Macaca mulatta: one gene and its partners. The protein of the gene in region 3 binds, or shares a complex with, the protein of the main gene of each other region. Links are inferred from orthologs where the notes say so. Each region holds a gene or a part of one and is shown on either strand. Other genes may lie near its edges.

Region 1 (4,286 bases), about 14 Mb from region 3:
GCCAGAATGTACATACTCTATAATGTAAAACTGATGTAGTTTAAATTCAGGTGGTATGGGTAGAGTTGATGACAACAAAGCACCTTTCAAATGCATTTAACTATCATAACAAGGGTTATAAAAGTTTGTTTACTACATAGACGTGCATCCAAAAAAAAACCTTCAAACTATTTCTATGTTCAAAATTTTTGGCTATATGGGTATTATTCTGGACATAATATCTCCCTTGGAAAGAAATCTATACCTGAAATTCAACAATTTCTTCAATGTTGTTTCAACTTCTCTTTTTTCAGTTTAATTAAAATCTAAAATCAAACTCAATATTTCTGGTTTTTTTGTTTTGTTTTGTTTTGTTTTTTTTGAGACGGAGTTTCACTCTGTCACCCAGGTTGGAGTGCAGTGGCGCCATCTCTGCTCACTGCAAGCTCTGCCTCCCGGGTTCAAGCGATTCTCATGCCTCAGCCTCCTGAGTAGCTGTGACTGCAGGCATGTGCCACAACGCCTAGCTAATTTTTGTATTTTTAGTAGAAACGGGGTTTCACCATGTTGGCCAGGATGGTCTCAGTCTCTTGACCTCGTGATCCACCTGCCTCGGCCTCCCAACGTGCTGGGATTACAGGTGTGAGCCACAGAGCCCGGCCAATATTTCTGGTTTTTTTTTAAGCGTAGGATAACCTCTCATGCTTACAGAAGACTATCTATTATTGACTATATTATCTAAATATTTCTTATTAATTTTAAAACGGTGTATAATAAGAAACCGTTCTTACAAAAGTATTTATCTCTCACCCTATCTGAATTTAGTTAGGCATCAGGATGTCTCCAATGATAGTTGTCAAATTTTGTGATTGTTATTTACAGGTGATGGGGTTTCCTTTTTGAACTTTTATGTATAGTTTGAGTCATTTTTAATGGGTTGAACTTATACTTCTGCATTTCAATTAATATGCTATTAAAATAAACAGGTAAGTGAATAAATAAGCAAATATTTTGCATTCCTTCTCCTCACATAAAAGAATTTAAAAGGTACAAATTTAATATTATACTACTGAGCATTTTTACTTACTAAAAAAGAAAACACAACTCAGAAGTATGCAATCAATTTAATATACCACACATTCTTTTCACAACATAATTGATTTTTTTGGGGGGGGTCTAAACTCAGAGAAAATATGTAATCCTTTTCTAAATAAACAAGTGGATTTGTTTTCATTAAGGAAAGTTACATAAAAATTCTAAAAAAAAATTCTGGTCCTTCACTACAAATATTCAAAGGAAGTAACACAATGAAGTCGTTTATAAATGATTGACTTTTTTGATAAGATGTGATAAGTTATGCATTTGTATAACCTCATATAAACCTTTATATAAAAGTTTCCACATTTATATATTTGAAATATTTGGACTGCACAGCCATGATTATTGCTACAAAAAAGAAAAAAAAAGAAAAAGAAACTCCACTGAAACATCAAAGATGAAATGCTTCTGTATTTCTGATTTTTTACACAAATTGTGTTAGTATTTTTGTATGTTTATGTTTGTTTTGTGAACACGTGTATGTTTACACATGTGTGTGAAGGAGGAGGGAAAAGAGTCTGCTTAAACATCTTCTTTCCTTATAAAATACAATGCACATAAATTGGTGAAACCTTCAACAACAGCAATAAAAAGATGATAAACCCATCTGATATATGAAAATTGCTCAAAACAAGCAATTCAATATTCAGCATATGCTCCTTCTTTTACAGACATCTTCAGAAAACATTACCACTGTAGATAAAATTATGAATATCTCATTTTCCAAATTGATTCTGTGTGATTCTACTGTTTTGTCTATTTTTTCTCAGTATAACTTCTATTTAGTCATTCTGTGAATGTTTCTCAGAGGACATAGTCAGGATGCTGATTATTTAAACATAAGTAGTTTTCATTTGGAGAAGCAAAAACTATGAATTCCAATTTTCCCCCCAAACCCCAATGTTATAGTATCCCATTAACATAATGGGTTATACGTGTCTAATCTCAGAGCTCTTAAAAGTTTTGTTCCCAAGTCATCAACTTCTGAAAGTTTTCATAAAGTATTATAAGAACCTTAATACTGACAAGCTTAACTGGTGTAAATGGCAAAGGAAACTCCAGAGGCTATTATCTTGAAGCTGGGTATAAAGCAAAATGCCAGACAAAATTTGGTAAGCTCGTATGACCTCCAGTCTTGCTTTGCTCCCCTTACCAAATCCTCCGCTAGGAAACTTTATAACCATTCTTTTAAATCATCCGGTGAAAACTGCAAACCCCACCCCTCATCTCTTTGATTAAAAAAAAAAAAAAAAAAAGGACAAAAAACGTTTAGTGATCACATTTTCCCATCTGCTGTTACAGAAAGGGCGTGTAGCCATCTGAAAGTCCCAGAATTAGCACTGTCATCCCGTCTTGCCCATTAGTTTTACTGCAGCAAAGACTAGTGAAACACCAAAAAATATACCTGTAGTCTTTCTTTCCCTGGTTTGATCCTAACCTCCCGGAATACAGATTCAATACATTTTTCCCACACAAGGAATAAATGCATTTTAAACATCAACATCATAGAAACACAGCATCAATAAAGCAGTGACTTCTCCCCCAACCCCAGCTTTTACCTGTTATGCTAATACAAAGACATTGAAAGGAAGAAAAGCTGCAGCTTGCCCAGCAATATTCTCATTGCAGCAGACAGCACAATTTTGTACTTACAGATCTTACCAGGGAAATGTCTCGGGATCTTTACAATTTTTCTGCAGAACTCTGTTTCAAGCTCTCAGCCAGGCATGCTGTGCATCCAGGCAGAACCAAGCCGTATGGAATGTCTATGCAGCTGGGAGATAATGGGACTCTTTTTCCCAGCTGGGACTGCAAGCCTTTTATCCACTGAGTATTGCGTGGCTCTTCTCTGGTCTTAAGCATGAAATACGCTCCTCTCCTGCTGCATTCCTGTCGGAGCCTAGACAATCAGTTCTTGAGGCACATGTGCAAAGCTCTCGTTTGGAATATTCAAAAGGAAAATTCTTTCTACATTGAAAGCCAGCTCTATCTTCATCAACCTTCACAGAATCGGACAGAGCTGAGAGCAGCTGCCATTCCAGTGGCATGAAAGATTAAATTCACCCTCCTCTTTCTTTGACTGGAGATAGTCACTCCTGCCGGGTCATCAGAAAATCTCTCTTATTGAAAACTGGGTCAGACTAACTACTTATTAGGTTTCCAACAGGAGAGGAAGTAATTTTTTTCTTCCTCTGGTTTCACTGCATTGTCATTTGCAAGCAAAGGTTAAGCTGGTCAAGGGTCTGCACTGATTTAGACAGTATTCAAATGTAAGCTTTTTGAAGCATGCCAGTAACTCCTTCTATTAGTGAAGGTGAAGAGAAAAGGGAAATAAAATCAAATGATAGTATGCACTATCACTAAAACCTTTCTAAGTTGTATTTTTTAAATGTGTGTATGAGGCTTCTCAAAGACAGGTAAAGAAAGTGAAGTTAAACAAGTCCAAAAGAGTATTGCTGCTTTCCAAGTAACATATTTGTAATTCCAGAGGCAGAGAACAAGTGTCTGTGTGTTTGCATAGGAGCTCTGTAAGAGGAAAAATAGGTTTTGTGTCTCACCCTGGGCTCTCCAACTAAACTTTTTAATATGTTTTGGTCTTGTCATTGGGTTTTGAAGGGATGAACTGCTTGAAGGATGAAAACTAAGGAATAGGAATTATACATGTATGCACACAGAGACTGTAATTCATACAAACATAGCTATAGCATGAGAAAAGAATGATAGTTTGGACTTATTTTCATGTTGGCATACAAAGAAATTATAATCTTAGCATCTTAAAGTAAGTGGATACTGAGAAAATGAAATTCCCAAATCAAATGGAAATAAGTCAGAAGATATTTTGTGGCCTCAGTTTGCTTTCACCTGATGAACAAGAAGGTTTCAATGACTATATTTTATGACTATGTCCTATGGATTTCTTCACAGGGTCTAACCAACATTATAAGAGGCTTTAGAAAGGAGATGATGCTTCCTAATACAAGGTAAACTCAAAATGGGCTACGCTATTGTTTCTCCCAATTCATAGGAAGGCAAACTAGACTAATAATTTTATAGAGAGAATATCTGATTTTATTGAACCTCTTCTAAAAAAAGTTAGAAGTATTTCTTGCTCTTTAGGAATAAAAATATATTTTACTTGTAAAAATTCCAAGGTGACTTTTCTGCAGAGTTTTAAGAAAAATAATCATTACGTAGTAGGCTTTTTTTTT
Region 2 (4,193 bases), about 15 Mb from region 3:
TATTGATATATTCTGATAGTAACCAATAATAATGAAGATCGATACATCTAGGCAGTAAATCCTGCCTCCTTGCCTCCTTCACTAGGCTTAAAACATAGCATTATAGGGAAAAATGAACAAAAAAGAACAAAAAAATCAGTGTGTAGAGACAACCCCCGCCTATCATATGAAATAGGTTCATTCAACTAAAATAATATAAAAGCAAGTTTGTACAAAATATTAATTTTTTAAGATAAGAGAGATTGAAGCTAATGTATATTATGTCTGTCTTCAAATATAACAAAGAAAAACCAACAAGTTAAAATCATAATCAGACAAACTTGTAGAAAAGTCAGTACCATGCATGGGAATTTTCTGCTGAGAAGCTTTATTTTTTTAAGACCTAAATTGAAGGAATGGATGTCCTGTATACATTTCAGAAGAAAAATTGCAGCCAAAAGATTTAGTGCTTAGAGCGGAAAAGAAATCAGAAGACCTACTTTTGAACAAAAAGGAGACAGAAGTAGATAAAATAAGTGAATGATAAAAAATCCAACATCATTTGAAAGGTTTGTTCTCTAATCACTCTTAATTATCTGCCAATATGAAATGACTATGGAAAAAGGTACTGAATTGACTCCCAATTGACTTGAAAAGTTTTACAACTCAAAGAAACTGAAAAGTGTTGTTTAAAAAAAAAAAAAAAAAAAAACTGCAAATAAGAAAATTTACCTCTGTTGAAACTTACATGTGGCTCTGACACGCACCCTTAAACAAGTCACTTCTCTTAGACTCTTAGTTTTTAACTGAAAAGGTCGGTTTTTCCATCCTTGCCAGCTACCTCCCAGGGTTCAGATGGAAAAACAATGAGGTTTATCATCATCATCTCTCCTCAACAAGACAGAGCAGCTGAAACCAGCTTCAACAAACAAATCAATAGCTATTTCATAAGGTAGCAAATATAATAGTCTCATGAAACTTGTTTTTGATCCTTACAATCTTACCTACTCCTGCGACCCATTGCAGAGATTCCCACAAAATCTTTAAAGAAATCAAGATAACAATAGCAAGAATAAACTTATGGGTAACATGTGAATTTTCTCATGAATGCCACCCAAATCACTTCAAGGTGCCTGTCCTCATGACACACTGTTCTTTTTCACCCACTTGGGTAGAGACAGAGAAAGACAGAACAAACTTGCTATTAGCCAGACTTGGGAACGCTATTGTGTGGACCTGCTCATACGCAACCTACACAGTCTTTACGCTCCTACCCCACTCCGTAAAGGACATAAACCACAAACCTCAAAAAAAAAAAAAAAATACAAGCACTTTCCAAATTATCCTACGTGGGTGTCCAAACGACTCAGTTATGTGGCGTTACTCCTTAAACTATACAGCTCCCACTACAGTAAACTGCAAGAGCTTCCCATGCAATTAAATGACACTGTTACTCTGACAAACATGTCCCCGCCCCTATGTTGATTCCAGCAGGAAAACTAGAAAAAGTTCCACGAACATTCCTTTCAGGAACTCCTCTTTACAAATAAAGCTCCAACACACCTCAAGATCCAGCCCACTCTCCTCCACGCAGACCACACACCCAAGGTGCTCAGTCACATTGATTCGCCCTACACAACCTCCGCAAGCTTTTTCGCACCAAATCTGGAGACCCTGGCCAGCAAGCAACCGCCTTATCTTCCCGATGCGCGAAGCCGCCTCCTCGCAGGAGCTCCGCTGTGCTGCAAAATGTTTTCATGCAGCCGACTCTCTGGCTGGTTCAGAGAGATTCAGGAGCCCACGTCCTCCTACCCTCACCTCCACACCTTTCATAAATAGTAAAATATATACACGAAGCACAAGAGAGAAAATGTACGAAGGTTTTGAGCCCTCCGTTCCAGAAGGAGCGCCAGTGGATTGGTGTCTGTGGGGCGCCTGGCGCACAGCTCGCTGCTGTCTGGGTCCGGGGAGGAGACAAGACGGTTGTCTTGCCCCTCAAAAGAAACTGGAAATCCCCCAGAAGTTGTTGGAAACGAATGCCACCCCACAAGCTCCCCTGGCAGAGACTGGGGAGTCAGGTACCTTCCATAAGAGCAGGCACCTGGTCTGTCACTCGCCGCCGTAGCCCCAGCGCTTAGCACCCAGCCTGGCACACAGTGGACGCTCCAAAAATCAGTGTCTGTTTCCACACGGCTCCTTCCATCACGGCTACGAGCTCCTGTTCCTTTAGTCCCAATTCCCTTCAAACCCCAAGTTCGCCTCCCTCTGCTGTGGGCTGTAACTGGGCTATCAGAAGAAAACCCCCGCCAAGAACCCGGCGCCAGAGGTGAGGGCGCACGGAGAAGGGGCAGTGGCCAGAACCGGTTGGAGGAGCTGATTTTAAGGGTTCCCGAAGCATTCCGGGCTCTGGGTTCCTTGTTTTGTGGCTGCCTCGCAGCGCAACAAACTTATTTTCTGACTAAGAAGGAGAAGAAGGGTCGCTGTGGGGTGACGGTGGCGTCGTCGGGGCCCTGAGTCCTTCTGGGCTCAGGCGTTCAGCTCCCGCTGGTCCGACCCTGCAGGGCTGTCAGGCTCTGGGCTGTAGGGCCCCATAGACGTCGTCCAGCTCTGCAGGAGTGAGAGCCCCAGGAAGCCTCTCTGTCCTTCAGGCAGCCTGCGCGGACCCTGCCCTTTCCCCCCAAATCCGCGAGCCAGGTCCCCGGGACATTGCGCGCCCACGCCGGAGCCGGACCCAAACAGCTCGCGCCTCACTTACCTCAGCACCTGGGCGCTGGGCTGGCGAGAGCCTCGGGTGCCGCGCCGGCACAGTCCGAGGGGCCCGGTGTAGTGGCGAAAGCTCCCTACTTGTAACCAATCCTGGTGTTGAACCCAGTGCTCTGTCTGGTGCGGCGCTCCCCTCCCTCCTGGCGCTCGCGGCGGCTGGAAAAACCTGGCGCGCCGGAGTTCAGGCTGCCGGCTCCTTAGCCGCAGGGAGGGGGAGAATCGCGGGGAGGGGGAGAGGCGCGGGCGGGTGAGTAGGGGCGGGAGACGAGAGGGGAGGAGGAGAGGCGCGGGAGGCCGGGAGCCCGCGCGCAGCCGGAGCCGGGCATGCTCAGTGCGCGGCCGGAGAAGGAGAGCGCTGGGGCGCAGCACCTGCTAGGTGCTGCTGAGAGGAGGCAGCCCCAGGTCCCCAACGCGCGAAATTAGGAAAGGGCACCTCTCCTGATTCTTAGGCAAGAGAAGATTATCAACGTGCAGCGACGTAGGGGTTGTGCTGTTCAGCGGCTAGGGATAAGCCGAGACGATTCTCCTTCGTTTGCAACCCTAATGTCGGGGCACCAGGAGGCGCGACCTTCCTTGGTACCCGAACCTCTGGCCTCCGGGAGACGCGGAATTCGGGGGATCGTTAAGGCGCACTGGCCATGGAAACAAATGCTTCTGCTCTGGGCTGAAAATTGTCGAACCAGGGAATGTGGGTGGGCGGGTGGCATTGAACTCAAGCCAGAAGAGGGGCTCTGGGAGGTTTTTACCTGCCTGTCCTTAGGCGAAGGACATTGGCTAGACAGGCTGCGTTACAGACCTGAAGTCTCACCCATGCAACATGCTTTCAGGTTGGAATGTGGGGCGGGGGGCGGGGAAGGTCAGAGGGAACAGTTGCTATAAAATAGGTACAAGGATCAATTTGTGGTGTCTTGGTCGCGGGGGTGAGGCATGTTGAAAGCCTTGTTATTCGAAAGAATGTGCTTTGAACGAAGTTATCATGGTCATTCTACATTATGAATCTACTGTTTCCTTGCAGAAGTGGCTCCCTTCGCCCCAACTCCAAACCTCAGGGTAACCGTAGAGATTGGCTGCAATGCCCCAGCCCCTAACCAGCACTGTGCAAAGTGACTTTGACAGGCAGAGAAAAGCCAACCCAGTCGAACTCGTCTGGAAAGCATTTCCAGCAACCCAGAGGAGCCTCTGTTTCTCTCTCTGGGAAAAAGCCCCAGGGGTTTTGCTGAACCCAGGTCTTCCTGCTCATCTCTCAGCAGTTCAGAGCTACATAAACAACTTCTGACCACTTACACAATCATGTAAACCTACCCTGACATCTCCATTATGTGTAAACGATGTTAACTGGAAAACTATTTTTAAACTACTGTAGTAAGCAAATAAACATCCAACTCCAACATGTATGTGCAGCAGCTTTATTAGTTCATTCAATGTTGGTTTGGTTTGGTTTGGTTTTTTTG
Region 3 (3,572 bases):
CCAGGCCCGGACCCCGATGTGGTCACCTCCACCCAAGTGCCCCCCACCGCCACAGAGGAGCAGTATGCAGGGAGTGACCCCAAGAGGCCCGAAATGCCATCTAAAAAGCCTGTGTCCCGTGGGGACCGATTTTCTGAAGACAGCAGATTTATCACTGTTAATCCAGGTAAGTGACGCAGGTCCTCTTTGAGGGTTTCTGCTGCTGTGAACAGTCATACCGTTTTCACAAAATTGAGAGTAGAAGGTGAAGCTTCAGAAAGTACTTAATATTCTTAGAATCACGTATGTCTATCATAGAAAAGGTGCGCACGTGTGAATGTGTGAATGTGTGTCCCTATTTTACTCCAAAAGCCTACTCTCTTATGCTGGAGAAAGTCTTTGTTTGATGTTTGTTTTCTTGCCTCAGAATAACTCCAGGGACTTCAACCGGGCAATGATATAAATGAATTTAAAAAGCCATCGATCTTAAGACGTTTATTAAGATTTCATTCCATATTCATTATATAATGTATCTATAAATGGCTAGTTTGGTGCCAGGGACTGGGTAGGGTGCTGTCCCAGGGAAGCCTGGTCCCTGACTAGAAAGTTTAAAGGGGAAGGCAGAAAGATGACAGACAGCAGCTAGCTGGAGCGTGTGCCCGGAAGTTAGGTAACAGGAACGTTAGAAAGCCAGCAAGCTAGATGGCGGTTAATCGGCAAGCTAGATGGTTAACTGGCAAGCTAGATGGTTAACTGGCAACTTGGAAAACTAGCTAACTGAAGTTTTCAATTGTGAAATGGTCACAGGATGCTGTCCAAGAGAATTACGGAGAGGATAGGGACCTACCCTAACTAAGAAAGGCCACTGTGGAGAAGTGACATGTTCATGGAAATCTACAGAATGAAAGGCTTCAGCTTGGGAGAGCCCATGGTCCTTGCCCAAGAAATACAGCCCTCTCTCCCCAGAGCTCCCATTGCTGTGGGAATGAGCCAGTGTATAGACGGTGAGGCCAGGGCATGAGATCCTCATCTTACCCCTCCTGGTGGCAATTCTGTTGCTCTGTCATATGCTCAAATCTTAATGAACCATCCTGATAGTTTCTGCAAGGGAGCCATAAGCATGAGGAGTTGTTATTGTTGTGAGGGCTTTTCTTAATAAGAAATTCTTCATTTTGCCAGACTACAAGATGTTTAGCAACAATTTTTTTTGCGTCTAAGCTGTTGTGGAGTTATAAGAGTGCAAAAAAAAAGCAACTGGTAAATATTTATTTGCTTTTGCACTTGTAAACATTAAAATTCATCTAAAGCTGAGATCTCGTATGTTAAGATACAACTTAGAATAAATTTTCATGTTTTGAATTACTTTCCTCTTAAAGCTAGTATGAACTAATTTTTTGAAGTGGAGGTCTCCTATGGGTATTGCTCACTTTTGCTGTGATTTGGGGAAAGGTGCAGAGTAGCCTTTTGTGGAACTGAGTGAAGGAAATATGGGGCCACTTGGGAAGCTGTTTCTGTATGAACAGTGACATTCCCTCTAGGAATTACTTTGAAAAAGTTGAATTTCTTGCATTTGAAGATACTGAAGAAACATGTATGGAATGCCCACTGTATAAGAGGCACCAAGCTAGGCTTTGGGAGTAGAACATAGGTCAACACAGACTTCTGTTCTCTTGGGGTTTGCGTTCTGGTAGGGGAGCTTGAGAATATGCCAGTAAACAAATACATACCCTTAAGTAGCCTTAACTGCTGCGGTTGGGGAGCGGAGGGACAGTGTAGCTTTGAGTGGTCAAGGATGACCTCTGAGCAGAGATCCAAGTGGTAAGAAGGAGCTAGCCATGCAAAGATCCAGGGAGGGGAATTCTGAGCTGCAGGAACAGCAGGTCCAGAGACCCTACAGTGGGGAATTAATTTGGATTAGTTGAGGAGCTATCAGGCCAGTGTGGTTAGACCAGGGAGAGTGAGGGGGAGAGAAGGGGATGGATTTAGAGATTGATGGAGGTGCTCTGGAAAGGTACTCGTTGACCACGCTGAGGATTTCGTTCAACTAGAAATGAGCCACCAGTGGTAGATTTCGGCTGCAGCATTACTTGATTGATTTTTTGAAAGACCACTCAGGCCTCTGCGTGGAGATGATATAGGAAGGCAGGAATGGATGAAAGGAGCCCATTTAGGAGGCAGTAGTAATGGTGGCTTGGACCAGTGTGTTTTCTACAAAGACAGGTGGTGGACTTGGAATTGATTTTCAAGCTTGAGTGTTCAGCCTCTGGACTATGGACTCTGGCAAAGTAGCATTCTCAGCCTGCTCCTCTTAAACATTTGTTTGACCACATTCCTGAAAAATATGGCTGCTGAGAGTTTAGGCTGGGAGTATTTACAGTTTGAGAGATGGGAGAGAGGCAGGGACTGGGACCGCCCCAGGTAAGTAGAAATGAGTTCTTGCCATTGGAGTCAGGTTCCAGATTCCAGAGACAGGGGAGAAGAAACGGATGGTAAACTTTGGGGGCTCCCTACTCCAGGTATGAGGTGTGTTGGTCCTCAGCTTCCACCCTACAGAAATCTGAGAACATCTACAATCTTGGCAGAGTGGCTTTGGGAGTCAGATCAACGCAGTCGGCTCTGTCCCTTATTCACCCAGGGTCCTCAGGTAAGTCTTAGTCCCGTGTACTCATTTGCCAAGTGGAGCTAATGATCATGCTTAATGCCAAAGGTGGTGTGGCTGTGGAGACCCCCTCGCTGTCACTGACAAATAGGAGCTGTCAGCAGCCCAGTTGCCACACAATGATGGTGACTGTGAGGAGGCCCCCCATAGCCCTTTCCTTTGCTCTCATCTGTGGACATTAAAGCTATTGGTCCCCAAGTAACTGCCATTAAAAATGACATCCAGATGGCCGGGTGCCGTGGCTCACTCCTGTAGTCCCAGGACTTTGGGAGGCCAAGGAGGTTGGATCGCTTAAATCCAGAAGTTCATGATCAGCCTGGGCAACATGGTGAAACCGTGTCTCTAGAAAAAATACAACAATTAGTAAGGCATAGTGGCTTATGCCTGTAGTCCAGCCACTCAGGCGGCTGAGGTGGGAGATCACTTGAGCCTAGAAGGCAGAGGATGCAGTGAGAGGATCATGCCACTGCACTGCAGCCTGGATGACAGAGCAAGACTGTCTCCAAAAAAAAATTAAAAAAAGACCTCCTCCTGAAACTCAACACTGGTAAATCAGAGCTTTCCCTTATCACCTTCAGCTCAGTAAGAAGGTCCACTTCTTCTGAAAGCTAAAAAAACTTCCTTCAGAACTTCAAGCAATTCAAATCTAAAAATGGTGGTGATGATTGTTTAAGCCAGAGATCAGCAAACTTTGTCAGCTAAGGGCCAGAGAGTAAATATTTTTCAGTTTTGCAGGCCACAGGTCTCTGTTGCAGCTACTTAATTCTGCCTTGTAGCACAAAAACCACCATAGACAATACACAGCTGAGAGGATGTGATAGTATTTCAATTAAAACTTTGTTTGCAGAAACAGGCAGTTGGTCTGATATGGTCCACAATCTGTCATTTGCCAATCCCTGGTTTACGCAGAAATATGCATGTGCCTGTCGATTAG

Evidence for each region.
Region 1: the proteins of PTPRG (region 3) and CNTN6 are in contact, whole or in part, in a crystal structure (PDB 5E5U), measured with the Mus musculus proteins. The link is inferred for Macaca mulatta from reciprocal best matches to the Homo sapiens genes PTPRG and CNTN6. Residues at the interface, in NP_033007.2 of Mus musculus: Val225, His226, His227, Lys229, Phe288, Thr290, Gln292, Gln293, Asp294, His295, Val296, Lys297, Ser298, Val299, Glu300, Tyr301; in NP_059079.2 of Mus musculus: Arg129, Val132, Arg135, Gln138, Gly139, Val140, Val141, Leu142, Leu143, Cys144, Gly145, Met222, Gly223, Tyr225, Glu226, Pro227, Lys228, Glu230, Leu252, Asn306.
Region 2: the proteins of PTPRG (region 3) and CNTN4 are in contact, whole or in part, in a crystal structure (PDB 3KLD), measured with the Mus musculus proteins. The link is inferred for Macaca mulatta from reciprocal best matches to the Homo sapiens genes PTPRG and CNTN4. Residues at the interface, in NP_033007.2 of Mus musculus: Lys222, Val225, His226, His227, Lys229, Phe288, Thr290, Gln293, Asp294, His295, Val296, Lys297, Ser298, Val299, Glu300, Tyr301; in NP_001103219.1 of Mus musculus: Thr128, Arg129, Ser130, Val132, Ser133, Arg135, Gln138, Gly139, Met140, Val141, Leu142, Leu143, Cys144, Gly145, Val219, Met220, Gly221, Glu222, Tyr223, Glu224, Pro225, Lys226, Glu228, Leu250, Asn304.

Annotation. Positions count from the first base shown.
Region 1 is NC_133407.1:139,852,268-139,856,553, reverse strand, and holds the start of CNTN6 (contactin-6), read right to left. Parts: upstream 2,842-4,286; 5' UTR 2,740-2,841; intron 1-2,739. UniProt on the Homo sapiens protein: Contactins mediate cell surface interactions during nervous system development. Participates in oligodendrocytes generation by acting as a ligand of NOTCH1.
Region 2 is NC_133407.1:140,836,285-140,840,477, reverse strand, and holds the start of CNTN4 (contactin-4), read right to left. Parts: upstream 2,858-4,193; 5' UTR 2,735-2,857; intron 1-2,734. UniProt on the Homo sapiens protein: Contactins mediate cell surface interactions during nervous system development. Has some neurite outgrowth-promoting activity. May be involved in synaptogenesis.
Region 3 is NC_133407.1:125,783,224-125,786,795, forward strand, and holds part of PTPRG (receptor-type tyrosine-protein phosphatase gamma), read left to right. Parts: coding exon 1-166; intron 167-3,572.